Linked DNA regions of Saccharomyces cerevisiae S288C. The gene in region 1 interacts genetically with each later gene. Each region holds a gene or a part of one and is shown on either strand. Other genes may lie near its edges.

Region 1 (8,326 bases):
ATATATAGAAATGGTTTATTCTAGTTTTTTCCGTTTTTTCAGTAGATTTTTGCCTTTAAAAGAATAAATCCCACTACAAAAAGGTAAAATAAAAAATCTATTCACTGAACTTACTGATGAAATTTCCAAATGTGCCCCGTACATCGAACGATGTGACAGAGAAAAATACGAGTAGGTAAATAAGCCAAAAGGCAAGGGTGTCCTTTCTTAAGCATCGGTTAGGTTTGCGGGCGATCAGTAACTGAACAATGACACAAGATCAAGAACGTAATTTGAGATTTTTCAAGATGGTTTTTTTAGGTATCTATTAAAACTACTTTGATGATCAATACGGTATTTTTGTCGCATTATTTTCCAAGCGGAAGGAACCGTGTGTTCATTTTATGAATCTTGGTGTTGTATTCACAGCTACTTCTCCTAATGCCTTCGATGCATTTAGATAATTTTTGGAAACATTTTTTTTCTTGATGTATATTTTTTGTATTGTAGAAATCGCGCGTACTGTACTTGTATATCGCTTTATAAGCGCTTTTAATTGATTGTTCATGACGAGGATAGGCGGATAGGCGGAGGTATGCCTCTTAATATTTATAATAAAGCCCACCAAATGGCTTCTTCTTTTTAGAATATACAATATACAAATAAAAATAAAAAAATAGAAGAACATCCTAGTAATTGTCTTGAAAATAATCAAGATATTGATTGGGATTTTTTATTTAGGGAAACCAAATAATTGCATATGCTTGTTACATCATCATCAGTCATATAAAGTATGTTGTCCGTACTAATGGTGGTATTTACCTTCCCCGAGTGTTACTGATAGGACCAACAAACTTACCGTTAGCATTATGTATCCTATGACTTCCCATCTCACAATTGTGGTTTGCGTAGGTTCGCAAACCCACTCAGCTAACCCCATAAAGATAATAGCTCCCAGGTTGCACGTCGTCAAATACTCAGCAGGGGCCTTGCGATTCAACTCTAATATCGAAATCAAGCTCGGCAAGGAACCAAAGATAATCGAGCCTAGTAGAGAGAACCAAAAGCTCTTGTCATTATAGAACAACGAAATGGATTCCACAGACTCACGGGAGGGAAATTTAGGAATAAATGGCAAAAGTATTACCATGCCAATAATACCGATTAGGGCCATGTGGGTGCTCTGCTTAACCAAGACTACAGCAGAATTTTCGTTCTTGGAAATGTTACTGCAAAACCAACGGTTCCATAACACGGCAAAAGGACCCATAATCAAAGCACCAAGGCCGCAAATCAGAGCACCTTTCAACCTATCAAACAAGAATGGGTCAGAAAGTTCACCCGTGTTAGGGTTGACGGACAGCTTTCCGGCAAGCATGTCACAGGTAGCCTTCGTGTATGAGATGATCAAAATTCCAATGACCGCGTTCATCATGATGAGGAAATTACGGAAAACGTAGTTCTTCCTGGAGATTCCACAAACACCATATAGTAAAGTGACAATTTCGAAAATGGCAGTATTTTGCATCAAAGCAACATCAAATGCCGGTGACAATGACAAAGCCATGTTATAAGTCAAATCAGCGACAATCATTATGAGAGCCAGCACTGTTAGCTTAGCCACATATTTGAAGGTAGCCACGGATATGATTTTTTGCTTCTGCTGTTGGGCTGGAATCCGTGGTTGAGGATCATCCAACACGTGCGAGAACGTATCGACATCTTCGTTTGTCACAGACCCGCTGTTGTTGTTGTCAAACTGAGAATTCCTGTTCGAGTCTGAGTCAGAGACAAACATCGGTCTCATCTTCTCCCAAAGTCGAGATGCAGGCACCAAGAGCAGCCACGAAGCAAAATACATAAAGGTCAGATAGAAGGTTAATGAACTTGAGTTTCCGTTGTCGCCGTTAGTTTCAGGCGTTGCAATTGTACCATTGGGCCCCACGGAGATTTCCTTTTTAGATTGTATGTTAGACAAACATTTTGTTTGAATCACGTAGCCTATTACACTTGAAAACCAAAGTAGTGTGGTAGACATGACGCTGTATCTTTGTTTGTTATCGTGCTAACTCACCAGCTCAAGAGCGGATCTGTTCTGGAAGAAAATGGCCTACAAACATTTCTTTCACTTGATCTTCCCACGTTCACATAGCCTCCTTTAGAGTGAGAGAGCTTTTTTTTTTCTTGCGATACACCTTCGCCGGGTGATAGCCGATATTACAAGAACGGGTTATAGCGTTATAAGTATATATGTATATACAAGGAAGAAAGTAGCATATATTTACAATCTTATTTGAATAAGAAGGAGTACCATGCCTCCTTCTGCTTGGCGCGCTGCTCTGCAGGCACATAACTCTTAACGTGTTCCACGATCTTGTCCACGCCCGTTTTTTCATCATAATTTCTACCCAAAGCATCAACAAACTGTCCTTCAGGGTCCATGAGATAAAAGAAGATGGAATGGTCTACCAAATAATCTTGGCCCGGTTTGACGTTTGGAGGCGTAGAAAAGTATACTCTGTACTTCTTGCATGCGTTCTTCACCTCATCGAACGTCCCCGTCAAACCCAGGATGGAGGGATGAAAGTCGCTCAAATACTCTTTCAATACAGCAGGGGAGTCTCTTGCTGGATCACAAGTTATAAATAATGGCTGCAGAGTAATACCATACTTTGAAGAGAGTGTATTAAGCCATAGACCTAGCTTATCCAGTTCATCAGGACAGATGTCAGGACAGTTACTAAACCCAAAGTATATTATAGAAAACTTACCGAGAAGGTTTTTCTCCGTAAACTCATTGCCATACATATCCTCCAGATGGAAGGGTCCCCCAAGTGAAGGTTTACCGTATCCTCTGTTTGCTTCAGCCTCCTTCTGTGTTTCCAATCTGCGTTTCTCCCTGTTGAAGAAATAAGAAAGTGCCCCACCGACTGCTAGGAATAGAGCAATGGCCTTTCCCGTGGAAAACTCGATCGAGCCTTCTCGCACTTTGCCGTTATCCTTAATGGGAGTACCGCCCACAGGTACTCTGCTTAATGGTTTCTTGCCATTTGACTGCCATAAGCGCGTTACAGTAAAGAATCCCCTTTGAGTGAGCAATTTAGCGCCATTGCCACTTAATCTTGCGGCTGGCAATTGGACCAATCTTAGATTGGCACTTCTTGACAACTTCAGCATCTTTTCTACGTTTGCTGTTTTTTCTGTTTCCCTTGCCTTATACGAACATACGTTTCTAATGCCGATTATAAACACAATAGACACAATTATACTATTTTCTCACTTTTCTCTTCGGGAGATCGCTATTGATTATTATTCCCGTTTATTTCCTTCAATTTAGGGTCTGAAAAGAAGATAGTAGGGTTAGTTTTTTGGGGTTTAAAACCCTAGTATAAACCCCTATACTATTTGTTTATATATTTCCTATTTGAGTATGATAGCATCGATATTGAAATTTACAGAACTTCAATTTAGTTTCAATTGGGAATTCGAGGACTCTCCCTTGGGATGGCCCCAGTCTATTTAACTATCTTCCATAATATTACTGTTGATTTCGTGACTCAGAAGAGAAAACAGAGGAAGTTACATATAGACCCAAATAAAAACCAAAGAACCACATATAGAAATGACGAGAAACCCGTTTATGGTGGAACCTTCGAATGGCTCTCCTAATAGACGTGGTGCTTCAAACCTCTCCAAATTTTACGCAAACGCTAACAGCAACTCTCGGTGGGCTAATCCCAGTGAGGAGAGTTTGGAGGATAGCTATGACCAATCTAACGTTTTCCAAGGCCTTCCGGCATCTCCTTCGAGAGCTGCACTAAGATACTCCCCAGACCGTCGCCATAGAACTCAATTTTACCGCGATAGTGCCCATAACTCTCCAGTTGCTCCGAACAGGTATGCTGCTAATCTACAAGAGTCTCCCAAAAGAGCAGGCGAGGCTGTCATACATCTAAGTGAGGGGAGTAACCTTTACCCCCGCGATAATGCAGATCTACCGGTAGACCCCTACCATCTATCACCCCAGCAACAGCCCAGTAACAATCTGTTTGGAAGTGGCAGATTGTATTCTCAAAGCTCGAAATACACGATGTCTACTACTTCCACAACGGCTCCCTCTCTGGCAGAAGCAGACGATGAAAAGGAAAAATACCTCACTTCGACTACTTCCTATGATGATCAGTCTACAATTTTCTCTGCAGACACTTTCAATGAAACAAAATTTGAACTGAACCATCCAACAAGACAGCAGTATGTAAGACGTGCCAATTCTGAGAGTAAGAGAAGAATGGTCTCAGACTTGCCTCCCCCAAGCAAGAAGAAGGCACTATTGAAACTAGACAACCCGATACCAAAAGGTCTGTTGGATACTTTGCCTCGTAGGAACTCCCCTGAGTTTACGGAAATGAGATATACAGCCTGCACTGTGGAACCTGACGATTTTTTGAGAGAAGGTTACACTTTGAGATTCGCAGAGATGAACAGAGAATGTCAAATTGCCATTTGTATTACCATGTACAATGAAGATAAATATTCATTGGCAAGAACCATCCACTCCATTATGAAGAATGTTGCTCATCTTTGTAAGCGTGAAAAATCTCATGTTTGGGGCCCCAATGGCTGGAAGAAAGTCTCTGTAATTCTGATTAGTGACGGTAGAGCAAAAGTCAACCAAGGGTCTCTCGACTATTTAGCTGCTTTGGGTGTTTATCAAGAAGATATGGCCAAGGCGTCTGTGAATGGTGATCCGGTAAAAGCGCACATTTTTGAATTGACAACTCAGGTCTCTATCAACGCCGATCTGGATTATGTTTCAAAGGACATTGTTCCTGTGCAATTGGTTTTTTGTCTAAAAGAAGAAAATAAGAAAAAGATCAATTCCCATCGTTGGCTATTCAACGCGTTTTGTCCCGTTTTGCAACCTACTGTAGTTACTTTGGTTGATGTCGGTACACGTTTAAACAATACAGCAATTTACAGGTTATGGAAGGTTTTTGATATGGATTCAAATGTGGCTGGTGCGGCTGGTCAGATTAAGACTATGAAGGGGAAGTGGGGACTGAAACTTTTCAATCCATTAGTTGCATCGCAAAATTTTGAATATAAGATCTCGAATATTTTAGATAAACCATTAGAAAGTGTTTTTGGTTATATCTCTGTTCTTCCTGGTGCCCTGTCCGCATATAGGTATAGAGCCTTAAAAAATCATGAAGATGGCACTGGCCCTCTCAGATCGTATTTCCTTGGTGAAACTCAAGAAGGCAGAGACCATGATGTTTTCACTGCAAATATGTACTTGGCTGAAGATAGAATTCTTTGTTGGGAATTGGTCGCCAAGCGAGATGCAAAATGGGTTCTAAAATATGTTAAGGAAGCCACTGGTGAAACGGATGTTCCCGAAGACGTTTCTGAATTTATTTCTCAAAGAAGACGTTGGTTAAATGGTGCAATGTTTGCCGCAATTTATGCTCAATTGCATTTCTACCAAATTTGGAAAACTAAACATTCTGTTGTACGCAAGTTCTTTCTTCATGTTGAATTCCTTTATCAATTTATTCAGATGCTTTTTTCCTGGTTTTCTATTGCAAATTTCGTTCTTACCTTTTATTATTTAGCAGGATCAATGAATTTAGTTATTAAACATGGTGAGGCCTTATTCATTTTTTTTAAATACCTGATCTTTTGTGACTTGGCAAGTTTATTCATTATTTCCATGGGTAATAGACCCCAGGGCGCGAAACATTTATTCATTACCTCCATGGTTATACTGTCTATATGTGCCACATATTCTCTAATTTGTGGGTTTGTTTTTGCTTTCAAGTCGTTAGCTTCTGGAACGGAATCCCACAAAATATTTGTCGACATCGTTATCTCATTGCTCTCCACCTATGGCCTATACTTTTTCTCATCACTGATGTACCTAGATCCTTGGCACATGTTTACATCATCCATACAATACTTTTTGACACTTCCCGCCTTTACGTGTACTTTACAGATTTTTGCCTTCTGTAATACACACGACGTTTCCTGGGGTACTAAAGGTTCCACACAGGAGTCCAAGCAATTGTCCAAGGCCATTGTCGTTCAAGGTCCAGATGGGAAACAGATTGTGGAAACAGATTGGCCTCAGGAAGTTGATAAGAAGTTTTTGGAAATAAAAAGTCGTTTGAAAGAACCAGAATTTGAAGAATCAAGCGGCAATGAAAAACAATCCAAGAATGATTATTATAGAGATATAAGAACCAGAATTGTGATGATTTGGATGCTATCAAATCTAATACTGATCATGTCTATAATTCAAGTCTTTACACCACAAGATACTGACAATGGTTATTTGATATTCATTTTATGGTCTGTGGCCGCTTTAGCTGCCTTTAGGGTGGTTGGTTCCATGGCCTTTTTGTTCATGAAATACTTGCGTATAATAGTGAGTTACAGAAATAAAGTTGAAGGTAGCGGCTCATGGGAAGTCTCTAAATTAGACTTACCAAATGTTTTCCACAAAAAGGGCTAATGCCAGTATTTTTCAGCTAATTTCTCGTCATTCCCTCTTTTTTCTCATTCTGTTTTAGAATGTACAGGTTATGACAACCATTACCTTCTAGGATATTTTGACATTTCTCTCTTAGACTTTTTATATATAATATACATGTTTCAATACCAAATATAATGTAGCATAACATAATCTATCTTTTTACTCATAGACCTTTACTTTCCTCTCTAAAAGCCGTGTCGCAGTAACTGGTGACGCTAAAGTTCTCCGGCGTTTTTTTATGTATGAGCTGGGCATCAAGAGCTTTTGAGATTTTCCAAGTAGTAACTCATCTTTCTGAGTGTGCTATCAAATACATACTAAGGAGAATAAACTCTTGTTATTACGTATTCTTCATCCTTATGGGTAGAGAGCGCACTGTTTTAGTACATTTTCTAGACGTCGAAACGTAGAGCAATTGTCGATAAAACAAAAAAAAAGTAAGAAGATATATGAATAGGAGCTGTCGCTAGAACTAGTAAGTATATGATGGAGATATAATAAGTGAATTATTCGATATTTAATGAACGTTCTCATTTATTTGGAAGAAATGTTTATCACGTGATGGAGAACCAATGAGCGGCGAGTAACTACGCGAGGAACCCGGACCGCAATAACGATTAAAGAAGGCCCGGAAGGGAGATGCTTAAATGATTATCACTCAGTTAAAAAAGACAAATAAGAAACTATTGAGACTGAACCGTTTTGGTTAATTTCAGGTGGAAACAATTGAAGACGAGCAGTAAACATTATTTTATTTAGTAGTCATGTTGTCAAGAATTGTATCAAACAATGCAACACGCTCCGTAATGTGCCACCAAGCGCAAGTGGGTATTCTTTATAAGACTAACCCAGTGAGAACTTATGCTACTTTGAAAGAAGTGGAAATGCGTTTGAAATCTATCAAAAATATTGAGAAGATCACAAAAACTATGAAGATTGTTGCATCTACAAGATTGAGTAAAGCTGAAAAGGCTAAAATTTCCGCAAAGAAGATGGATGAAGCAGAGCAGTTGTTTTACAAGAACGCCGAAACCAAAAATTTGGATGTTGAGGCTACTGAAACAGGTGCTCCTAAAGAGTTGATTGTTGCTATCACCTCTGATAAGGGGTTGTGTGGTTCTATCCACTCTCAATTGGCTAAAGCTGTGAGAAGACATTTGAATGATCAACCAAACGCCGATATAGTCACTATTGGTGATAAAATTAAAATGCAGCTATTGAGAACCCATCCTAACAACATTAAATTGTCTATTAATGGAATTGGTAAAGATGCCCCAACTTTCCAAGAATCTGCTTTGATTGCCGATAAGTTATTGAGTGTCATGAAGGCCGGCACTTACCCAAAGATTTCCATTTTCTACAATGACCCAGTGTCTTCCCTATCTTTTGAACCATCTGAAAAACCGATCTTTAACGCCAAGACCATTGAACAATCCCCATCATTCGGCAAATTTGAGATCGACACGGACGCAAACGTTCCAAGAGATTTGTTTGAATATACTTTGGCTAACCAAATGTTGACAGCAATGGCTCAAGGTTATGCTGCTGAAATTTCCGCCAGAAGAAACGCTATGGATAACGCTTCCAAGAATGCCGGTGATATGATCAATCGTTACTCTATCTTGTACAACAGAACAAGACAAGCTGTCATTACTAATGAACTGGTTGATATTATTACTGGTGCTTCCTCTTTGGGATGATAAAAAAATCACCCTGCATTGCCTCTTTATTTGACGTTGTTTTTGTAGAACATGAAACGAATTTTGACTTGATGAGACGAAGTATATATCCAAAGAATACCTTAAATAGAAA
Region 2 (7,936 bases), on another chromosome or scaffold:
TTCAAATGCCAACTGGAAGGGCGCGAAACCGAGGGTAATGCGACAGAGGGCACTGACGTTGTTTCGTAACCTTGTAAGCTCTTTCTGATGGTAGTGCTTCATGTACATGTTTACTCTATTATTTGACCAGTCTCATTGTTGATAGGTTCCTTAGTTTTACATAGTCTTGGGTCTTAGTATATTTCAATTGCACGAGCAGATAATCCAAAGTACTTGAAAATGGCCGGTTTAAAAGACGTTGTCACTCGTGAATACACCATCAACTTGCACAAAAGAGTATGTCGAAATTAGCGTTGTCTTTACGTGGGAAATTATTGAAAGCCAACAAGCGATATTGTGGTGAAATACCAAGCGAAATCTATACGGGTGAAATTTCATTTTCCAATGATTGACCCCAGGTTTTAATTCGGAATATTAGAGGTTATTATATGGAATGCGTGATGCAAGGACTGGAAGGTTCTTCTTCGGTACTGCATTTCTCTGTGTTCTGCGATCGATATCCGTACCTCACGTTTACACTATAATGGCGCTTGGGCCGATGTTTTTGGCGTGATGCTTTAGTTCCACCTTCTTATAACAACTTTTTTTTTACTAACAGACCAATCTTGAATTGATATTAATATAGCTACATGGTGTCAGTTTCAAAAAGAGAGCTCCAAGAGCTGTGAAGGAAATCAAGAAATTCGCCAAATTACACATGGGTACTGAAGATGTCCGTCTAGCCCCAGAATTGAACCAAGCTATCTGGAAAAGAGGTGTTAAGGGTGTTGAATACAGATTGAGATTGAGAATCTCCAGAAAGAGAAACGAAGAAGAAGATGCCAAGAACCCATTGTTTTCCTACGTCGAACCAGTTTTGGTTGCCTCTGCTAAGGGTCTACAAACCGTTGTCGTTGAAGAAGATGCTTAAATTGTAAAAAAAAAAAAATAATGTCCATCTTATAAGCATTTTATTTCTTTTAGGTTATATTATTACACAAACAGAGCTGCTTTCGGGGTACGAGTATACGCTCTTGAATGATAGGAAAATATATACAATTTCAGTACCACAGTTTATTAGATTTTTGTAATTCAAAATTTATTCATTCTTGTCTCTCAACCACTGAGGCGCTCCTCTGCACACAGCTATTAGCTTTATAAGGAATTTCAACGCCCATGCCAAATCCATCCTCGCCGTAACGCTTGAACTCAAAGGTTTTATTAAACCAGTCGATCAGACTAATGTAATTTTTAAGATTCATCATTTTCTTTAACAGAGATTTCTTCAACTCCATATTTTCAAGCATACAGTACAGATGGTGCTGAGCCAATTGAAAAGGCAAGCCACCAAACTCTAGAGCCCAATAACAAAACTTCTCAATGCAGCCCCAAGGGCAGGTAGTATATCCAGCAAATAACGCTGGATTGCTTAACAACCCACGCACAGCCATGACACCATGTGCACCAGTGTATTTGGTGATTCTTTCCAAATCGGATAACTTAAAACAATCCCCATTCGCTATTACAGGCACATTTTTGTCGCTGATGTTCTCGATGATATATTTTATCGCATCCAGGTTAGCCGGCTGCGATGACCTAGTTCTACGTGTTCGGCCATGAATCGTAATCCAATCTACCCCAGCATCACATAGCTTTCTACATAACTCCACCGTCTCGTCCAATGCCTCATGTATTCTTATTTTCGTTTCAATTCTTAGTTTGTCGCCATACTTATCTTTCACAGCATGGACCATACTGCATAACAAATCTGAATTGTATATCAGAGCGCAACCTATGCCCTCTCGGATTTGTTCCTTTATAGGACAACCACAGTTAATACCAATACCATCACAGTATGGGGCAACCATTTCCACAAATTTTAGTAAATCAGCCACGTTATTTACACCTACTTGGACGATTAGCGGGGTGTCCTCATTATTTGTAGAAAGGTCTGAGATTCTTGCATGCTCATTACGGACATATTCTCTTGCCAAAATCATGGGGGAGTAAACTATATCAACGTTATATTCTCGGCACAACTGACGGAATGGTAACTTGGAATACCGAACCATTGGGCCTGCAATGGTCACGGGCCGACCATGTGTCTTTTGCCTCGTCTTTATTATATGCAGTGGATCTGTTTCTTCAGTAATAAGCTTCGGCTTCGGTATCAGAACATCACCGGATGGAATATGCATTGTGTGCATTTTCTTTAGAATCTTTATTCTGCATATGAATTATAACTTTGAAGAATCCATCTCTTATTTTCATTTTGAGTTTTTTCGCTGATCATCTTTTTTTTATTCAGGGCGAAGAAGCAGAATGCTGGAAGAGCCTACTTACTTAGAAAATAACAGCTAGGTTTTAAAATTATATAGCGAGAAGTACAATTCTATCAGCTATGTTTCTTGGATTTTTCCTGACCCTTTCTAACAAAAATGAATGCAGTGCAACCTGTGATAAAAAAAAGTACACATATTATGCAATGGAAAATTGAAATGCCAATAATATAAGATAAAAATCTTTTTCGAAGCATCAAGTTTCTTAATCCCTGCTCAAAATTCATCCTAAACTTAATCCCACTTTCTGGATGTATTATTAGATTTCTTTGGGCAATCTCCGTTTTCAAGAACACCGAGATTGTTTCATATGAAGACTCTAACGATATTTTGTCCTCTATTCTTATTGTATTTAGCCATTCTTCATCGTAAACGTCTAGACGTGATGGGCCTAGTTGTTCGATCTCCTGAGGCGACATGGAATCCGTCAGTGCGAGGCAGACAATAGGTCTAGAAGTGTGAAAGATTTTTTCATCTTTGCTGTTACTTCCTCCAGGAGCACCCAATAGCGGGCCTGGACCTCTGTAAACATCAATTAACAAATTGTCTAAATTTAAATGGTCAGTTTTGCTCTGGCAATAAAGCTGTAGGTTTAGATCGAGCTTGTATTCCATGTTGTCACGCATGGGGATTAACTGTGATAAGCCATTGTCTATTGTTTGCGGCAGATCTGTACCTACCGGAATGCTTTTAATAGATTGGAAGAATTTTGTACCAAATTGTACGCCATTTAAAATGTTGAACGTATTAAGGGGGACTACGTTAGAGGAATCGGCAGGTAATAGTCTTAGGTAAAAATCGTGATATATTAAGATCGATAAAGGAAGAATGATTAGCAATTGTATCAGAAATGCAACAACAATATATGAACTCCATTGTAAAAACTGTAATGGACGGGATACATTGATTTTCATCCTTCCTATTCACTTTATCTTATTTTCTTGAAACCTTGGATTCACATTTTGATAATTTGCCGTAAGCTGTCTCTATTTTTCTGTCTTACGCGCATTTATATTTTTAATAACCTTACGTTGAGATTTTCAAATTATACACATAGTAGCAACTAATGATGAGGTAGTTATACTTAACTTTCAAAAGAGCGACTCTAGTATTAGATGAACAATTAGGTTGCTTTATATGGATGACGAAAAGTCTTATTTACAAAATAACTCTCAATAAATGTTTCTTGACCATATGGCTTGGTGTTGTCAACTTTCTAGATAATACTTATCAGCGTGATTGGATTGTAGGTTTGGGAGGAAGGTTGCTTTTTAAGTTACTTATAGTATATTATTATTGATATTGAATTAATTTACTTTCATAAGTGTATAAAATAAAAGTTCAACATTACTAACAAAACTATAATATTTTCTCAACCAATTATTAACCTGTGATAGTTGCGCTGTAATTCCAGTCTAATTAATATGCTTCGTAAGATTAATTGTAATATTTAAGTAATCTTTTAATGGTTCAATAAGATAGTTTCTGCCTAGAAAAACGATCCGACAACGTGCATGGTAATTCACTTACAAATACACAGAATTGCAGATAAAAAACGGAACCTTTTATTTAAGATTTAGAGCATGAATAAGAAGAATTAAAGTTTCTTTTCTTAGAATAAAAATAGTTTTTAATACATCAGAACAGAAGGAAGTAAGTAAAGCCAAAATATATATAGTAAAAACACAGTAGTAAAAAATGAATAGTAAAAAACACACAACAATAATACTAAAAGGAGAGACCAGACAGAGCGCAAATCGTTTTCATGACGGAGTATTTAGAGGAAATGATGACAAAACAAGAAAATGTTATTCTATTATAAGTTCATTTTTCAATAATAGATATGCTTTTTATTTTTTGAAATTAATGGTAACAGTCGAAGAGCACAGCTTTATCATGCATTTTCGTTCAAAGATGATCACATAAATTGCGCCCAACAACAAGAGAAAGAGCGGCCGCTCGATGCATGAGTCGGTAACGGTAGAATTAGTATCTAAATAGCATACTAAATCAATTCAGTAAAGAAACAATTATATCTTAGTGAGTGGAGTGGCCCCTGTGATATTTTAAACCGTTCAAGTTCTTATATCTCTTACCACAAACTTCACAACGGTATGGTTTATCCTTTGCAGAGCCCATTCCATCACCAAAAGAATCTGTCGAATCTGGATCTATTACGCTAAATGTACCGTCAGGGTTTTCATGTAATTTTTGATTCTGATGTCCGTGCAACCTATGGTACTTCAAACCGTTTTGGTTTTTATAAGTCTTTTCACAACCAATAACTGGACACTTAAAGGGTTTTTGTTCCTCATGATCCATTACATAGAGCCTTCTCGCAGGATCGTCTATATAAGCTTGCTGAGGCATCTTGTAATTGTTGTTATGAACTGATTTTCCATTGGAACTGGAGCCATTTTCTGTGTCATCGTCATCGTCATCGTCATCGTCATCATCAACATCATCGTCATCATCAATGTCATCAATGTCTTGATCCTCGACCATGTTTTGAGAAGATTTTGCGTGTACGGAAGAATGAAAAGTATTGTAGTTGTGAGAACCTGTAGTTGGATTTACGACAGAGTTCATGGAATTGTGGTTACTAGGGCCCAAAATATCATCATCCATAAAACTTAAATCTATATCTTGGACAAGTACCAGAGGTGATAAATCGGTTTGATGAGGATCAATTTTTCTTGATTGATGTTGAATAGGATTCCTGGACGTTTTGTTCAAGGAATAGTTATTAAAAGTATGTGGACGATTCACCATGGCGTTTTTACTACCCATGTTAATATTAGAATTGTGTGAGGTATTATTATTGATATTGATACCACTATTATTGTTACTGTTAATTTGTTTATTGTGCGGAACGTGTCTTGATGGAGAATTGCTCGTTCTTAAAAACACATCATTCGTTGAAACGGCATCGACTAGATTACCATTCAGATGTAGTTGTTGAGAGTGATTAGCCATAGATAAGCCCGAGTTGGGGGCACCCGTTATAGATATCACATTTGGATTTGCAGTTGTGGACGACGCAGTTGCTGAACCCATTACACTCGGTGTGGGTACAGCCCCTGATGTATGATTTACAGAATTCGATTGCAACTGTTGTTGTATTATATTCTGCTGATGGTGAGGATGCTGAGATTGTCGTATTGTGGAGTTGGAATCCATGTTGCTCTGAAGATTGGCATGCATATTATTAATGGAGGTGTTATTAGTTGCATTGCTGCTATGAGCCTGCATAGTATTAGTCTTATGACCTGCATTTTTTGTATTAGCGGCCATGTTATTCTGCAGGTTATAGTTGGCAGAAGAGGTATTATTTGTCATACGAACTGATGAACTAGTGTTACCAGCAGAGTTCATCGGTATTTGTGACATATTGGTAGTGTTAGGAGACGTGGATATATGAGCTTCTTCGTAATGTCTCAGCAAATCATGCAAACCTGGTAAGGAAAGACCACAGCATGAATAATCTTTACAATATTGCTTTTCTAGATTTGGCAGATAAGCAGTGTAGGCTATCTGAGGAGAAATAGAATACCCTCTATGGTAAGGCGGATTACTAACAGAGGGTCTCTTAGTTGGTTGTTGAATCTGCAAAGTATTAGTGGCAGTAGTGGTTGCAGAAGCGGCAGCGGAGGCAGCACCGTTTGCTGATGCAGGTACAATACTATTTCTACGGCTAATAATTTCATCTCTTAACCAAGAACCAACACTAATGGATCCCCATGAAACACCACCCATCCCTTGAGAATGGGCTATTGATTCTCTCCGTAACTTGGCAATGTCCTGTGGAGTTAGTAGCGTTTGGTCCATTATATTTGGAGAGTACAAATGAACATTATTTGTATTATTCATGATATTTTTTTGGTGAATATTATTGACGCCGTTAAAATCTGTGTTTTTTCCATTAGAAGAATCCGAATTGTTATTTATCAAAATGGAAGGAGTATTCTGGTTCGAATCAATATCAATATTAAAGTTTGATGACGAATTTATAGATGCATGTGCCGATGTAGCCGTCGTAGTAGTACTAGTAGCCATATTGCTTGCCATAGTCATTGTTGTAAAATCCATACTCAGATAAGCTTTTCCTGTTTCGAAGAAAAATAAAAATACTGAATATGAATATGTCTTTTAATAACAATAAATTTGAAAACGCCTTACAAGTGAAATCTTGAGGTGATTAATAGTAGGTGAATCCAGAGAAAGTGTTTCGAGGATATAATATGGTATCAGAAAGCCAAAAGACGACCGGTATATTATAAACTTAGTATGAATGTATCGTGGCGCTTTTTTCTCCTAGCTTTATTCTTCTTGCTTTCTCGCTCTAAATATGATATTGCGATAAAAGGAAGTAGTTTAACTCACCGTAAAATCGATCAATATTAGAAAAACAGAAAACCACCAGAGAGAAGCACCGATATGTAATTGAAGTAGAAAAAAAATCTAGCTTTCCTTCTCTTTATAAGCGAACTTAATGATTAGATTGACTAGCGCTATCCTTCTTTGATTGTAATATTTGTCAAACCTTGTTAACGGAGCCACTAGAATGTACAAGACGTTATATAGGGATGACAGGTAGAAAAGAGATAGGGCCTGGGAGGTAAAATGCGTACGTTAGCCTAGAGAGCTTTAAATCGGTGACGATGCGAAAGCAAATGATAATGGCAATAGCGGTGGCAGGCGACAGTGGCAAGTGACAATGGCTGATAGTGACGTTATTTGATACAAAATCGCCTTTTAACGAATGCATCGCCCATTTGTTCCAAATTTCAATTGATTCGAAATTGCTCCTTATTATGTAACTGACAAAATCCTGTCCCCTTGCACGACGTAGGCGCGTTTTGTTTCTTTTTCCTACCGCAGACCACCTTGCGCACGGGAACGCCGCACTGTTTGGCACCCAGTCACCGCCCGTACCGTCGTTCCACAGAACATGCCGCAGAAACCTGTCGGGTAATAGTACACGGGATGAAGAGACTTAATGCCGACAAGCCGGGTAGGGGAATTGTAGCTCCGAAAAGCGACGGAAAGTTCAATATACAGAAAGCCCGTGCACCATTTTTGAAAAGTTTCATAAGATCTAGTTAAAGTTATGAAGAATTTAGTTCGAATGTGTAGTGATGAGATGAGCAGTAATGAAACATTAATGAACTCAGAATAGGAAAAAAAGGCAACTTCTAAACATTATTGATGGAGCAAAACGCTGAAAAACGCTCTATTGTTGGCGACGACAACTCAACCGTGAAGAGACAAGACACTTCCCCGTCCAAAGGTATTGCACATATCAAACCAGAATATATTGTACCATTGAAGCAGAATGAAAACCAGAAGGTCGCCATCTATGATGAAGAGATGTCTTCCGACAGAATGACAAACGAGTTTGCAGGTGGGACTAATAAGAAAAATAAGAACGGAAGAGGTAAGAAGCGTGGGCAAAACAAGAATAGAGATAACAGGCAGGTCAAGGAACAGAATGTCTTGTGCCCACGCTTGATCCATGGCGATATATCTAAATGCTCCTTTGGTGATAACTGTAGGTTTGTTCACGATATCAATCTGTACCTTTCAACAAAAAAGCCTGAAGTTGAAAGTAATATATT
Region 3 (7,230 bases), on another chromosome or scaffold:
AAAAATGTTCTTGATAAATAGCATGGCATATCCATGACCAAATTGTCTAATTTCATTCCGAACTCCTTATGCAAGACCTCAGGATCATGCGGTAACCCAATCTCCTCTTCAGCTTCTCTTCTGGCTACGCTTTCAAAGGTTTCTTGAAAATAATCAGCTTTACCTCCAGGAAATGAAACATCACCTGAGAAGCTTCTCAATGTTCTTGAACGTTTAGTTAAAAGCACTCGTAGTTCGCCTTTCATTCCAATGAATAATAGTATTATTACCGCCGAATTTCTTTTGAAAGGCCATATTGAGCTCCGAGTATATGGTGTTTTATGAAATTTGTATCTTATCAAGTTCTCTATTAGTTGCTTTGAACTCAGCATCCTCCTCTGACTTAATATCATTACAGCTTTTCTGTTACATGTGTGATTCTCTTCAAATCTACAATATTATTATTGAATTGTTATAAATATACTTACGCGGATCCCCCCCCACAACCCTACCCCAAAAAATAAATACAACGAATAAATACGCGATTGGAATTCATCGCTACTTTTGAAAAAACAGAATATATAAGTTGATAATAAGCTACTCTTGTATATACCTATTCGCCTAGGGATATAATCAAACTTTTAAATCGACCTTTAAGGTATATGTAACAACAAACGCCACAGTGATGAAAAGAATCGCATACTGCATGACAAATAAGACGGACAAACAGTTCATTTGAATGTGATCACCACATGCTGGCGTATAAAATGCTGTGAAATATACTTGAGCAGTAGCACTCGGCATGGACCACGTTAATATCATGTCAAATTTTCCTATGCCCGTATCCAGCCAATCGATCGAATATAGTTTATTTACCCATAGGACGCCAATAATAGGAATGACAATTAATCGAAAGCATGTCATCAATAAGGCGGATTTAATAAATCCAGGTGGCAATGACTTAATTTCTAATCTTGCCAACGTTCCGCCAAGTAATAGAAGCCCCAATGGAACACATGCATTTCCAATATACTCTGTAAAATCCATTAAAAAATTCAGAACAGGTTCTCCATCAGGCGCCTTATGAACGTGAACATATGTCGTTACGAAGCATGCTTTAACCCAGGGAATTAATGCACATATTATTCCTAGTATTGCCCCCAGAGATGCTGGCCTGAGGCAATTTATAATAAAGTACTGCAACCATTTGAGATTGTGTCTCTCTATAAAGAAGGAGAGGCTACCCCTCCCGTCGGTGGCCATATTAGTGCAATTTTCTTCTTCGATGGAACTTTCATCGGTATAACCAGTGTGCACATTACCAATACTTGCGTTCCTGCTTCCAACTTCTTCAGTCAAGGATAGTGGTCTTGATAAATCTAATTCACCTTGCCTTATTTTTTCGGCGGCACTGTATTTGGAAATCAACTCATTCATATCCGCTTTCCTTTTTCTTCTATAACTTCTGCCATCGCTATTTTTTGATATACGACTATATGAGAGGGAACTGCCATCTATTCGCGAGAACTCCAATGCGCCTGGGCTTGAATAAGTCGAGGAAACCCTATATATTTCAGCATGCGGAAGGTCACTTTCAAATTTATGGGATGCACCATTTGATTCTTTATAGGGTTTGATGTAGCCAGTAAAACCTTCGTAGAATGCCTGCGGTGTCATTTCATTTGTAGTAATAGAGTTACAAGACAAATCGCTATTACTTCTCGCATCTTCCGATTGATAGGCATTTGTAGGACGTGTGATATTAGGTAACTTTGTTATTTCAGTAAGTTTGCGATCGTCGATAGCGGGACTTACTGACGGAGTAATATTCTCACTATCTGGTTCTTTTGTATCTCTAAAATCAAGTCCGACCACTCTCCACATTCCAAAATTCATCATTAGGAAACTTTGAATAAATAAAAAAATGCAGGAATAAGCAACACCTTTATCAGCTTCTTCAGCAGTAAAAATGGAGCCGTTACCCATGCTCTGAATATAGGCAATAGGTAAATCTGATATATTTGGAAAGAAACCCGCAAATATGAGCCCCCAGAAGAATTTTTTGGGCACAGTCGTAGCAAATGTAGTAAATAAGGCGCCCGTGGCACCTAAAACAAACAAGATAAAAGCTGAAAGTATTATCACTCCAATCTCCTTTATATCCCTCCATGAAATATTGGACACAATTTTGTTGAAGGTCAAACAAGGCAAAATAGCGTTAACAACCATATTTGATATACCTTTCGCATTTTCCATGGAAACAATATCGAACTTAGCTACCAAATAGCCAACAAGCATAATGGTGTAAATTTTAAATATAGGTTTTAATGCAATGTAAATAGCGGCACCCAGAGAAAGGGACATCTTGGTTCATTTATTGTAGTACTAGAAAATCGTTTCCACCATATAAAAATGATAGACCTTGATCAGACACATGTAGAATTACCGATAGAAGAAATACTATATGAGTACTGTAACTTGTTTTACCTCTTATACGTTACACACTTTGATGTAAATATGACTCACCTTATGTACCAGACATTGACCCAAAAATACAGATATACAAAAGGTGAAAAAAGATATAGTAGTTCCTCGACGTATGCCTACGGGGAAAACAATATAGATGGAATTCTATAACACCGACAGTGATGTTTCTCCTGAAATTTGTGCCAAATAGCGCCGCGGAAAGTCGGCACATTTTGCAACATGGACTTCGGAGGTCTGATATCATCCCGTAACCTTCTCGTAATGCATCAGATTCTGGTCATGCTTGTTCAATATACATCCTACGTGCACAACGAACAATAGCTTTCTCGGTATCTTATTCGATTATCCCCGAAGTTTCTTGAAACGGCAATATCCTTTTACCCTATCCCGGGCGAAGAACCCCGTCACAGTGCATTACTTTATTCCCACTATAGGGATAACAGGGGCGATTGTGTACGAATAACTAGATTGTATTTAGATAACTAAGATATATGATAAGTGCGTAAAAATGGATATATCTATACATATATATCACTAAGTGCATAAAGTCTTTGTATTTTCGCTTTCCTAGCTGACCAGTAAAAGATCTTGTTTTTTAACTGATGGATAAATAGTAATTTATAACTGAATAGAGCAAAAGTTGGGAAAATAGAAAATAGAAAACAGAAAAGGAGCGAAATTTTATCTCATTACGAAATTTTTCTCATTTAAGTTATTTCTTTTTTTGAGAGAAAAATTGGTTCTCTACAGCAGAAATGATGGCAGGTACAACTTCTGGGTTGGCCAAAGTAGTTAGGTCACCTAGCTGTTCGGCTTCGTTAGAAGCAACCTTTCTTAGAACTCTTCTCATAATCTTTCCTGACCTTGTTCTTGGTAGATCTCTAACTAGAATAATGGTTTTTGGTGAGGCGAAAGGACCAATCTCACCCCTAACTTGTAAGATCAATTCTCTACGTAAATTATCTGGTGTGATGTGTTCTGCATCACCTTCAGTAGCGTTGTTTTGTAGATAACCATCTTTTAGGGAAACATATGCAACGACGGTTTGACCGGTCAATTCATCTGGAATACCGACAACAGCAGCTTCCGAGACGTTTTCGTGATTTGAGATAGATGCTTCAATTTCTGATGTGGATAATCTATGACCGGAAACATTTACAACGTCGTCAACTCTACCCCTGATCCAGTAGTAACCATCATGATCTCTACCAGCACCATCACCTGTGAAATAGTGACCAGGATAAGGTTTCAAGTAAGTATCCATGTAACGGTCGTGGTGGTTCCAAACAGATCTAGCCATTGATGGCCATGGTGATTTAACGGCAAGGACACCTTCGACATCATTACCTTCTAATTCCACACCTGTAACAGGGTCAATGATACAAGCGTTAATACCAAAGAATGGCACGGTAGCAGAACCAGGTTTTGTTGGGACAGCACCTGCCAAAGGAGCAATTAAATGAGAACCAGACTCTGTTTGCCACATAGTGTCACAAATGACACAGTTTTTGTTACCCACTTTTTCATGATACCATTCCCATAAGTCTGGAGAGATTGGTTCACCGACGGAACCCAAGACACGTAATGAGGAAGTGTCATATTTGGCAATTTCGGCTTCACCTACACGTTTGATTAATCTTAAAGCAGTTGGAGCCACATAGAAATGGGTAGCCTTGTGACGTTGGATAATTCTCCAATATCTACCATAATCTGGGTAGGCAGGAGTGGATTCGAAAATTATTGAGGCGGTACCCAAGGTTAATGGACCATATAGAGCATAGGTGTGACCCGTGATCCAGCCGACGTCACCGGCAGTGAAGAGAACATCTTCTGGGTGAATATCAAAAACGTATCTAGTTGTTAAAGCGGCACCTAATAAATAACCACCTGTAGTGTGAACGACACCCTTTGGAGAACCAGTGGAACCGGAAGTGTATAATAAAAATAGAGGATCTTCAGCGTCACATGAAACAGGAGGTAGGTAAGTTCTCTGCTTAGCGGCCTCCTCATGCCACCAGTAATCTCTACCGGCCTTCATTGGAATACCTTCAGTACCAGTTCTTTGGAAAACCAAGATACGGGAAACCAAATCGACTCCGTTCAAACCTTCGTCAACAATTTTTTTAGTGTTGATGGTCTTACCACCTCTTTTACCTTCATCACAAGTGATGACCACTTTAGAATTAGCGTCAACGACACGATCTTTCAACGAACCAGCGGAGAACCCAGCAAAGACAACAGAGTGAATAGCACCAATACGAGCCACAGCCAACATAGCAATGACCGCTTCTGGAATCATTGGCAAATAGATAGCCACTGTGTCACCTTTCTTAACGCCCCAGCTTTTTAAGACACCAGCGATTTGGGAAACTTTTCTGAGTAATTCACCAAATGTGATGATTTTGTTGTCGGATTCGTCATCAGCTTCATAGATCAAAGCTGGCTTGTCGGGATTAGCAAAGGCATGTCTGTCAACACAATTGTATGATGCATTCAATTTACCGTTCAAAAACCATGCAACATCACCATTGTTCAATGAACCAGATTGAACTTTGGTGTATGGAGCATCCCAATGCAAGTATTCCTTAGCCATCTTATCAAAGAATTTTTCTGGCTCATTGATAGATTGTTGATACATTTCTTGATAATGTTGCATATCAGTAACGTAACCCTTGCCGGGTTGGCTGTTGTAAAAATGTTGAGGAGCCTTAAGAGCCTTTACGTTGTGAGCTTCATAAACTACTTTATGTTCCTTGATTGTCATATTTTATTATTGTATTGATTTACTTTCCTGTATTCTGTTTGTGTATAACAATCACTAACCGCGGAGACACACAATTCGGAATTCGAATACTATATATATATATATTTTAAGGTAGAGGTATATATAAGGTTTGATCAGGCTAAACGTGCGGTGCGATATCGTTGCTAAAATTCAGAACACTGTTTTCAATCTCGAAGTAAAAAACGATAAAAATTATCAACAAAACCAGTGACGAAGAAGTTCAGTCACGAAACTTTTTTGCCTCGTTCAAAAAAAAAAAGCCAGCGGAATCGGCTACCGAATATCGGCAATAACGCTTCGGCCCCGGGAAACGCATATGAATAATTTTAAGTTAGTTTTATGCTATACAGCGGGTGGCTACGTGTAATGTATTTAATGTTTATATTTACTGATTTATGACATCGATGAGGGAGATCAATTCTTGCAATCGCGCCAATTCGTTGCGATCAGTGCCCTCTCTTTCGTAATTATTCACTGAAACTATCTTGCCAGTTATTGTGTTTCCCGAGAGGATGGCGCCATTACTGAAGGTATTACTAGTTGTGTTATCGCTACTGGAAGGCGTCGCAGACTTTTCCCTCTTCAGTTCCTTGCCACGAAAGTAAATAGTATCTTCGAATTTGTAATCCTTAAACTCTTCGGTTGGTCCTTGATACTCGGTATAGAAAGGCATGAAGCTCACGGTGTAAGCATCTAGATTCACGGCATCTTTGGTCATTGCGTATTTGACCTACTTACTGTATTAGTACACACTTGTATTTTCGGGCCTTGATGGTTTTGTTTCACTGCTTGTTTGCAATTGGTTGTTGTTCCTAACGCGTTTTGTCATTTTTCGATGAAGGTCGAACGGAAAGAACTAAAAAAGACTAGGGGAATGGAATGCGGAATAGCAGTGCATATTTCAGGATGAATGGAAAAACACATCTGCAGCAACAATGAAAAACCTTAGTGGATTTAAACTTCTCACAGGAAATATCGATCAAAGCAATGGGCTAGCCAAATAAAAAAAAAACTGTAGGCACAAAAAGCAGCATACGTCATTCGCAAAAAAGAAGGTCCTACCCGGATTCGAACCGGGGTTGTCCGGATCAAAACCGAAAGTGATAACCACTACACTATAGGACCGGAACTTCTTGATGATACGAACGATTAAAATTGTTGACGTTCTCTTCTTTTTTTCATATTTGAGTAGATCTGATGCGCAATGTCTATACAACCTGGCAGACAATTGTCTAAATAATATTTTGTAGGAATAAGAGTCCACTATCGTCTATCAACTAGTAGTCACACTACCAATATATTATCATATACGGTGTTAAGATGATGGCATAAGGTATGAGAAACTGTCATCGAAGCTGAAATGCAAGGATTGATAGTGTAATAGGATAATGAAACATATAAAACGAAAAGAGAAATAATCATAACATTATTTCCTAGAGTAGCGATTCCCCTTCGCGTATTCTTACATCTTCGAAGAGAACTTCTGGTGTAAGTATAATAAATATTATAGCTCTATCGAATGGTGCAATTATTTACCAAATTCTCAATAGGAATCCATAATACTACATACGATACTAATATTCTAGTATTTTTATACTTATTATTTCTTTTTTATTACACCAGCAATCGTTGCAAATTATCTTCTGATAGAATTTCTGAGGGTATCCTAAACTTATGCCATTTTCTTGGACTGTAAATCATACTTGGATGTTGTGCATTAGTCAATAATCGGTTCTTGTTCCAACGATTACATGTAAATGAAGGGAGAAATAATTATGGTAAATCATGCGGCGGTCCTTTTGGTGATGCAGTATCCATAGTCACTACATAACAATCTTAGTCACCTTGTATTGATTCACCACATAATCCTGCAGAGCCCGCTATGTCCTTAATCTGCGCGATAACTCTCCTACCCCTGAATTTTGAGAGCGCCATAGCAAACCGATAAAGCTGGCACAATTAAAGGTATCGGTGTTGTC
Region 4 (8,192 bases), on another chromosome or scaffold:
AAGAGCTGTACTCTATGTACACATATGTATTGGTTGGAGCATATGTGCCTACATAATATGTCTAGTTGGCTCAAGCCCGTCAACTAATTAGTCTGAATGTATGGAGGCTTCTGCTGGCTCTAGCGATGTCGTCGTATTTACGTCACTGTAGTTCTCGACTCCCCGGAAAAACCTGTTCGCGTGAGCGGAACAACTTTCCATTGAGGCTTAGTGGAGGTATTTCCGGAGAGGGCATTCATCCCGGATTTCCTATTAGAATGGTGCAGTACGCCGCCCTCGCGCTCTCTACATGCTGTTTTAGCGCGCGTGATATGGACATAGATGCACCACGCGGTGTTTCTTTTCTAGGCATCAAGTGGCTTGCAGCCAATCAAACACGAGGAATGTGGGATGGAAGTACAATCTCCTCACCGCACACCCACGTTTTCCGGGACATTTCTCGGACAGACTCTTTTTTTCTTTTTTTTTTTTTTTTTGCTTCCCACGAAATCGGAACTTATCTATCAGCCGAAGAAAGCGCGTTGGACAGATACTTGAGCAGATTTTGTGGGGAGAGAGAATCTTGGGACAAATGCAAAAAAGAAATGGTCGGAACAAAAGGGCAGTATACAGGGCCGGCAGTACCTTCTGTTCCTACCACAAACCTTAACGATATCGGTGACCCTACTAAAACTGTGCAATAGATATTCCGGACCCACATCATTGCGGTGTTTTCTGAGTCCGCACTCACGGGACGAAGACGAAGAAAGACAAGAGCCTACAAATGACTATAGCGTTTTCTTTTTCCTTTTTATGCTCTTGCTACCTTTTTCGCATGAGAGGACATTCTTAAGGCGTATATTCTTATATATTATACAAAATATATTTAGTAAATTGTTAAATTTACTTATTGACTTAAATCGCCCTAGCGGAAACAAAACTCTTTAAAAGAAAACATCAAATAAGAACACAGACAAGAAATTTTGTGTACAAATGCTGTCAGACTGCTTGCTGAACAATTTCAGAATAACGGCTCAAATAGGGTCGGGTGCGTATGGACTAGTGTTCCATGTGGTGGATATACTGACGAGCCGTGAATATGCAGTGAAAACGGTCTTCAAATCCTCCTCGATGGATGAGTTTTATAATAAGAACGGTTTGAACAACAACTCTCAAGTGGCGCGAACCACTCTTCTGCAAACGCAACTGTATCATTTTTTCAAAAGTTTCCAAAAAAAATTGTTCTTACCTTCCGTTGATCTAGACTCGATATTACAGTTGACTGAGAATGAACTAAATAGGCTACCACACTACAGGGAGATTGCCTTCCAACTAAGAGTGCAGTCTCACGGCAATATCGTGAAGATTCACCAAGTTTTAGAATCTTCTATTGCCACTTTTATAGTGATGGATTATTACGACAGGGACCTTTTCACCTCGATAGTTGACGATAAGCATTTTGTAAATCATGGTATTTTGATTAAGAAAGTTTTTCTGCAGCTTTGCTCCGCATTAGATCACTGTCATCGTCTCGGTATATATCATTGTGATATCAAACCTGAAAATGTCCTACTGGATCGCAATGACAACGCTTATCTTTGCGATTTCGGGCTTTCCACTAAATCTAAATATCTAGCTCCAAATGTGTGCGTTGGCAGTTCATATTATATGGCTCCAGAAAGAATATTGTATTGTTTGAATACCACCACCAACGGCATACACGTCGACGAATGCTGTTCGAGCCTCCCTACGGATACAGGAGATATATGGTCTCTAGGCATCATCCTAATTAATTTAACTTGCATAAGAAACCCATGGTTAAAAGCTCACCAGAAGGAGGATAACACATTTCAACATTTTGCTAACGATAATAATGTCCTGAAGAAAATCCTTCCTATATCAGATGAGCTGTTCACAGTGTTGACGAAAATTCTACAACTAAATCCATACACAAGAATAGACATGAAAACTTTGATGTCCGAAGTTTCCTCTCTTACTTCTTTCACCAGGGAAGGGCCCTTGTCTCAAGTTCCAATCCTATCGAGCGAAGTTTACATGACGCATATTATAAGGAATGAAAACCTATTTTTGAGCGATTTATCACATTTTTCTGCAGACCAAGAACAACAACAACAACAGCAACAACAACAACAGCAAGTCCAAGAACAAGAACAGGAACAAAAACAAGAACAAATACAAAACCAGGAACAAGCACAACAGCAGCAAGAAGAGGAAGATGCTGAACCGGAGAGTGATATTCCATCAACGTATAATAGTGACGGAAGTATGGAAAAGTATGAATACACTAACAACCACAATAATAGTACCTTTTTAACTTCCTCAATGGACAGTACACCTTACCAATCTGATATCGATGACGTTAGTGCTTCCAAAGATTGCAAATTCCAACAAGATACATTAAGAAATAGGCTATTATGCTTACAAATGAATTTTTCTACTTTAACAGACGGTCCAAACGAGAAATGGTTACCAGATTATTGAGCAGGTCTCACCTTTATACTCACTGTATTATCTTATGTTCTAATTCGGTAATAGCTTCACCTTTTCTTTTTATCTTTGAGGTTTGTTTTTTTTCTAGTATCCTACTAGGATGGCTATAAGCAATGGCTGGAACGATTTTCATACTTTTTTTACGAACTTACGACTTTTCAGTGTCTTCTTTGATCAAAAGGAGATCACTATGGATATATATGTCCTACATAACTAATTACAATAATGATAGAATGACAGAACTTAGTCACTTTTTTTGTTTCTCAGCCCGGCGACGGCGCATTTGAATGGGTGGAAATCTTCGCTGATACCAGGTTGACAGTCTTATGATACGATTTTTTCGTCCTTTGCTTCCCCCGCAATAACCTTGCCTTTCCTCTATTTGCCGCGTTAGTAAAAGACCTTTCACAGCATCTGTAAAGTTCCTTTAATCGCATTGCAAAATACCAGGGCCTAAATGGAACTTCCTCAAACTGTCTTTCCAACCTTTCTAAGGGGTACATAAACTTTTGATATTGGATTTCCATCGATTCCCAAGGACTTCTCTTTATTGGACATTGCTTGCCTGTGACTTTTATAGGCGGCTTATAATATAGCACAAGGTCGGGCAAGTAACAAAATACAGCACTTCCTCCATTCTTATCAGGGTAGTAAGAGACTGAATCCCGAATCTCTTTTTCATTAATAACAATTTTGTTTTCTTCGATTTTCATGTTCTTGGTGGAAGAAAAAGTTTCCAACCAAGAATTGAGTTTATGTAATAATGATTCTGGGACAGGTGGCAATAAGGTAACACCCTCTCTTTTTTTCAATTCCATTTTATGATTTGCCGTTTCAGTTCTAGAAGTTTTCAAAGCAGAGTTTCGTTTGAATATTTTACCAATGGATTTTGAAAATCGTTTACCAGCACTAAATTCATGCTTGGATCCCGAATGTTGGAACAGGTGCTTAACACTCACAATTTCGGGATATTTATTAGGACCATCATTAGTACATGCCATTTCCTCTTTCCTCGCCACCAGATTTTAAGGCAGTTGATGTTTGCTTCCAAGGGAGAAAAGGAACTTATAACGGTTAAAATTAATAGAGCCTGAAGAGAATGAAGGCAGCCAAGACATTGATTAACATCCTACAATTGTAGAGCAGTCAAACGAGTTAATACCACAAATGTCAGTAATTAGTGGAACTTGTGCAAGTATCACCCGGCCAGCTTGCCAAGGCGGAAAAGTAAGTCAAAAGGCACACCTCAGCGTTTGAGTACCTGAAAAACGATGAATCGCAAATAAAACTTTAAATTATGCCTGTTATACATAAAGCCATTTATATATTTATGTATTTTATGAAAAAGATCATGAGAAAATCGCAGAACGTAATCATATCTTTTCAATGACAATAGAGGAAGCACCACCACCACCATTACAAATGGCGGCAACACCGATCTTACCTCCTTCTTGCTGTAAGATGGATAGCAGTGTAACAACCACTCTAGCACCAGAACAACCCAATGGGTGACCTAGAGCAACAGCACCACCATATACATTAACCTTAGATGGGTCTAGCTTCAAAATCTTAGTGTTCACCAAACCGACAACCGAAAAGGCTTCATTGAATTCAAAGTAATCAACAGAATTGATGTCTTCGATGCCAGCATGTTTCAAAGCCTTTGGAACTGCAAGAGATGGAGCCCATGTAAAATCAGCTGGTTGATGAGCGGCCTCACCCCAACCTTTGATAATAGCCAAAGGCTTCAAATTCTTTTCCTTCAAAACTTTTTCGGAAACCAAGATGACGGCTGCAGCACCATCGTTGATTGGAGAAGCGTTAGCGGCAGTAACAGTACCGTTTTCTTTTTGGAAAACAGTCCTTGCAGATCTCAATTTTTCAACGTGTAATCTAGCAGGTTCCTCGTCCTTCGTGACTTGAGTATCAGGCTTACCTCTAAATCCCTTAATGGTAACAGGTACAATTTCATTGTCGAATTTACCTTCCTTTTGAGATTTTTGAGATTTTTGGTAGGATTCGATGGCAAAATTGTCTTGTTGTTCTCTAGTAATATCCCAATCACGGGCACACTTTTCTGCGTGTACACCCATGGCTAGACCATCGTACGCATCGTTCAACCCATCTCTTTCGACACCATCAACAAGAACAGTTTGGCCAAATTTGGCACCCGCACGGGCTGCTGGCATGTAGTATGGTGCGTTAGTCATAGATTCACAACCACCAGCTACGACAACATCAGCATTACCACATTTGATGGATTGAGCACCCAAAATGATTGCCTTCATAGCGGATGCACAGACCTTGTTAACTGTGCTTGCAACGATATGATTACTCAAACCGGCAGCCAAAGCAACTTGTCTGGCCGGAGCTTGGCCCAAATTGGCAGAAAGAACGTTACCAAAAATAATTTCGTCAAAATCCTTGGATGCATCCAATTCTGGAACCTTAGCCAAGGCGCCTTTTAAAGCAACAGCACCCAATTCCACTGCTGTCTTGGAGGATAGAGAACCCTGGAATGAACCAATTGGGGTTCTGGCAGTCGATACAATGTAAACGTTCTGAGACATTTTGAGTACGTCTAATCTGTATAAATATATATGATATGGCGCTTGTTTTAGGCTACCTTTTTTCAGAGAACTAGAAAACGAGTAGGCTTAGCAGTGCTCTTAATGGAAGCGCTTGTTCCTCTTTTATATATTTTACTGCCCTTTGCTCAACGGTGGCCTATCAACCTGGCCACGAACGTGTGGTGGGCTAGTAGTACCGTACTCTCCAGCGAAAAAACCGGCTTGGGCGGTAAACGACAGGCACCTCGTTATAAGTGACGTGCCTGTTAGGAAACGATAAACCCGGCAGGGCACAACAATGGCATCATACCAGAAATGTATCATGTTAAGGCTTTCAAGCAGTGTAGCTGTTTCTATTTACAGGATATATCGTAGATTATGTACGCAATCTTCTTCTCGAAGATGAGAGGTGACCTCTTGTAGAACCAAAGGGCTTATGTGCGTAAGGATTCTTCTTTAATCGATCAAGTTTCTCGAAAATAATCATCTCACAGAAATACTTCAAATCTTTAGCAGATTCCATGTCAATGAAGTAGTTTGGGTACCTGTTGCTGAGCCAGAAGTATAGAGTAATGATGTTGTACAATGACTCATAAACCTCTAATGAATAACTCTCATTCGGTATGCAATTGTAGTCCAGTAGGTTAAAAGGTAATCGGTATGACAGTAGGCCTCTTGTATGCCTTTTTGCTATTGTTTCGCAAAATTTGGTGAACGCCTTTGTGACCATAGGCATGTCCTTCACGGGCGCATTGCTTAGTTTCAGCTTGTCGAAAAATGGGATATCTTCCATGTGCTCGAATAAGCCAATAACTTTCAGTTTGCTCTTTAAATCAGATAACGTGAACAGGTTGTCAGAACTTTTCTCTAGCTCATCTGAAATAGTCTGCAGCAGGACACTGGTCGGCGTTCCTGGTGGGAATTGTGTCATTAGTTGAGCACATATTTCATCTGTAGGCCATGTAACCGCAGTTTTTAAATACTCCACAGGTGCTTCAATAGCTTTTCTTACACTTTTCAAAACTTTTGATTCGAAACTGGTGATAAAACCCTGAGGAACACCCCCGGAGGCAGATCTAGATTTGAACCTTCCCGCACGACCACCTATTTGTTTGATTTGAGAAGAAGTCATTTCCATTAGTTCTTCACCATTATATTTCATATTTGTCGTGAATACAACTCTGTCAATAGACAGGTTTAAACCCATACCAATAGCGTCTGATGCTACCATTATGTCATACTCTCCATTGTTGAATAGGGCGGCTTGTTGAACACGTGTTTCAGGCGGCAAAGAGCCATAAATTACAGCAACTTTCAAATTGGTGTCTTTCTCTATCTTTAGCTTGAGATCCAATATTTTCTTCTTTGAAAACGCAACGACGCAATCTCCTTTGCGCAAACCTTTGATGCCATCTTTGATAGGTTTTTCTTCAACACTTAACTTTCCTAACCTCTCATATTCATTAATCGTTAATTTATCGCCAGTCATTTTAACAATGCTCTTAACCAAAGGTAGAACACTCTTTTCACCACAAAGATGGACCTCCTTGGAAACGACACCTAAAAGCGCGTTCGTCCAAGCCCAGCCACGATCCCCATCAGACATCATTTGAATTTCATCAAGAACAACAACGTCAAATTTTTGATTTATTGGCACCATTTCTACTGTGCCTGATGTCAGCCCTGCTGAATTTCCTCTATCATCCAAATCACGAATAACTTCCTCTCCAGTCAGTAAATTGCATCTTATCTTTTCTGCATGAAATCTATCGTACACTTCCCTTGCTAGCAGTCTTAACGGCCCTGCGTAGTACCCACGGTCCACGGATTTCAATTTCTGTAACGCTCTATAAGTTTTGCCTGAATTCGTGGGCCCAATGTGCATGATTATATGTCTTCTAATCTTTCTTGCCTCCGGAAACCACTCTGCTGGATTTGTTATGTCAACGTTGTGAGCGCCATCTGTATCATCTGTATTCGTCATCATGGGTAGTATCTCCTGCTCGTACACATGGTCGAAGGTCTGTTGCAGGACGTGGATAAATTTATCCAATGTAGTTATATTGTTACTCAGGCTATATTTGAGAACAGATTTCCAGACTAAATTGCTGATTTTATTGCAATTTATCAGCAACGAAATCAAATTGCCAGGAGATGAAGGATGTATGATCTCACTTACCGAAGGTACATAGGTTTTGGCTTGCAGTTTCGGATCTTTTAGTTGTTGATATATGTAATCTCTTAATTTCAACCAAGCAAGATTCTTTATTGGTACTTGCTTGGCATCCAAGGATGACAATTTATCGTTATAGATAAATTGCATCGCTTTATCAAGGTTATCTTTAAATGATGAATCCTGTAAATACACATTATTGCTTTCGGACTTGTTAAAATTAAACTGGAATATATCTAATTTTGAATGTTCATTTTTGGGTAAATTTAGGAATTTAGGTCTTTTCACAATCCAATCCTTATCATGAAATAGATCGATGCTATGCGGCTCGCTGTGGTAATATGCTTTCTTGATGGACACAAACAGTCGCAATGATCGGAGTGGAAAAAAAACTGTGCTGTATTTGACAAGTGCCATGCTAGTATACTCTATCGGCACTTAAATCTTCTTTCTTTTCATAGTTGAACCTCTTTCTTTGAAAGTATCAAGTTTCTGCATTTTGGCTTCTCATTGTCTATGCATCGGGCGAAGAAATTATTAACGCTGTTTACGATGGACCATCAATTTTTAAGTAAAAATGAAAAAATTAGATAAATTGTATAGTCTTATATGTACGTATGATATTCTAATTAGTCTATAAATGAACGCACATACAAATAATAGATGATACATCTATTTAATGGTTTCTTGGGTTTCTTTTCAATAAGGACATTGTGTTCTGAATCCACCCTTCAGCTCCACCGTCTTCCCAAATCATATCGTACACTGCTTGCGTTGGAAAATGCTTTAAGGTTGCATTTTCTACACCTATGATGGCTGCATTTCTTGTGCTTGGTATCCTTAACATCTCTTTCTCTACTTTCCAGCCTACACGAGATGAAATATATTCAACGTGATCAACCAAACCAGAGTAGGTGCTCTTACTGTTATTCTGGTTTTTGATTTCATTTGACCTAGGC

The links.
Region 2: mutations in CSG2 (region 1) and SEI1 together harm fitness more than expected from each alone (negative genetic interaction), as found in Saccharomyces cerevisiae (3 studies listed by BioGRID).
Region 3: mutations in CSG2 (region 1) and ACS2 together harm fitness more than expected from each alone (negative genetic interaction), as found in Saccharomyces cerevisiae (3 studies listed by BioGRID).
Region 4: mutations in CSG2 (region 1) and ERG10 together harm fitness more than expected from each alone (negative genetic interaction), as found in Saccharomyces cerevisiae (3 studies listed by BioGRID).

Annotation. Positions count from the first base shown.
Region 1 is NC_001134.8:308,297-316,622, forward strand, and holds CSG2 (mannosylinositol phosphorylceramide synthase regulatory subunit), read right to left. Parts: upstream 2,018-8,326; coding exon 785-2,017; downstream 1-784. Other genes in the region: Cu-binding protein SCO1, read right to left, coding at 2,269-3,156; chitin synthase CHS2, read left to right, coding at 3,602-6,493; ATP3 (F1F0 ATP synthase subunit gamma), read left to right, coding at 7,279-8,214. UniProt on the Saccharomyces cerevisiae protein: Required for calcium regulation. May regulate calcium accumulation by a non-vacuole organelle. Also regulates the activity of CSH1 and SUR1 during mannosyl phosphorylinositol ceramide synthesis.
Region 2 is NC_001144.5:924,039-931,974, reverse strand, and holds SEI1 (seipin), read right to left. Parts: upstream 3,233-7,936; coding exon 2,375-3,232; downstream 1-2,374. Other genes in the region: 60S ribosomal protein eL31 RPL31B, read left to right, coding at 220-276, 626-910; DUS4 (tRNA dihydrouridine synthase), read right to left, coding at 1,083-2,186; zinc-coordinating transcription factor SFP1, read right to left, coding at 4,356-6,407; tRNA dihydrouridine synthase DUS3, read left to right, coding at 7,527-7,936. UniProt on the Saccharomyces cerevisiae protein: Involved in lipid metabolism and lipid droplet (LD) morphology, number, and size. Facilitates initiation of LD formation, and ensures that vectorial budding of LDs from the ER is directed towards the cytoplasm.
Region 3 is NC_001144.5:442,346-449,575, forward strand, and holds ACS2 (acetate--CoA ligase ACS2), read right to left. Parts: upstream 5,231-7,230; coding exon 3,179-5,230; downstream 1-3,178. Other genes in the region: PCD1 (8-oxo-dGTP diphosphatase), read right to left, coding at 1-392; YLR152C (uncharacterized protein), read right to left, coding at 613-2,343; RNH203 (Rnh203p), read right to left, coding at 5,637-5,969. UniProt on the Saccharomyces cerevisiae protein: Catalyzes the production of acetyl-CoA. Provides the acetyl-CoA source for histone acetylation in the nucleus. 'Anaerobic' isozyme of acetyl-coenzyme A synthetase, which is required for growth on fermentable carbon sources such as glucose.
Region 4 is NC_001148.4:494,964-503,155, reverse strand, and holds ERG10 (acetyl-CoA C-acetyltransferase), read right to left. Parts: upstream 5,061-8,192; coding exon 3,864-5,060; downstream 1-3,863. Other genes in the region: putative serine/threonine protein kinase SKS1, read left to right, coding at 973-2,481; SMA1 (Sma1p), read right to left, coding at 2,754-3,491; ATP-dependent RNA helicase SUV3, read right to left, coding at 5,437-7,650; TRM44 (tRNA (uracil) methyltransferase), read right to left, coding at 7,910-8,192. UniProt on the Saccharomyces cerevisiae protein: Acetyl-CoA acetyltransferase; part of the first module of ergosterol biosynthesis pathway that includes the early steps of the pathway, conserved across all eukaryotes, and which results in the formation of mevalonate from acetyl-coenzyme A (acetyl-CoA).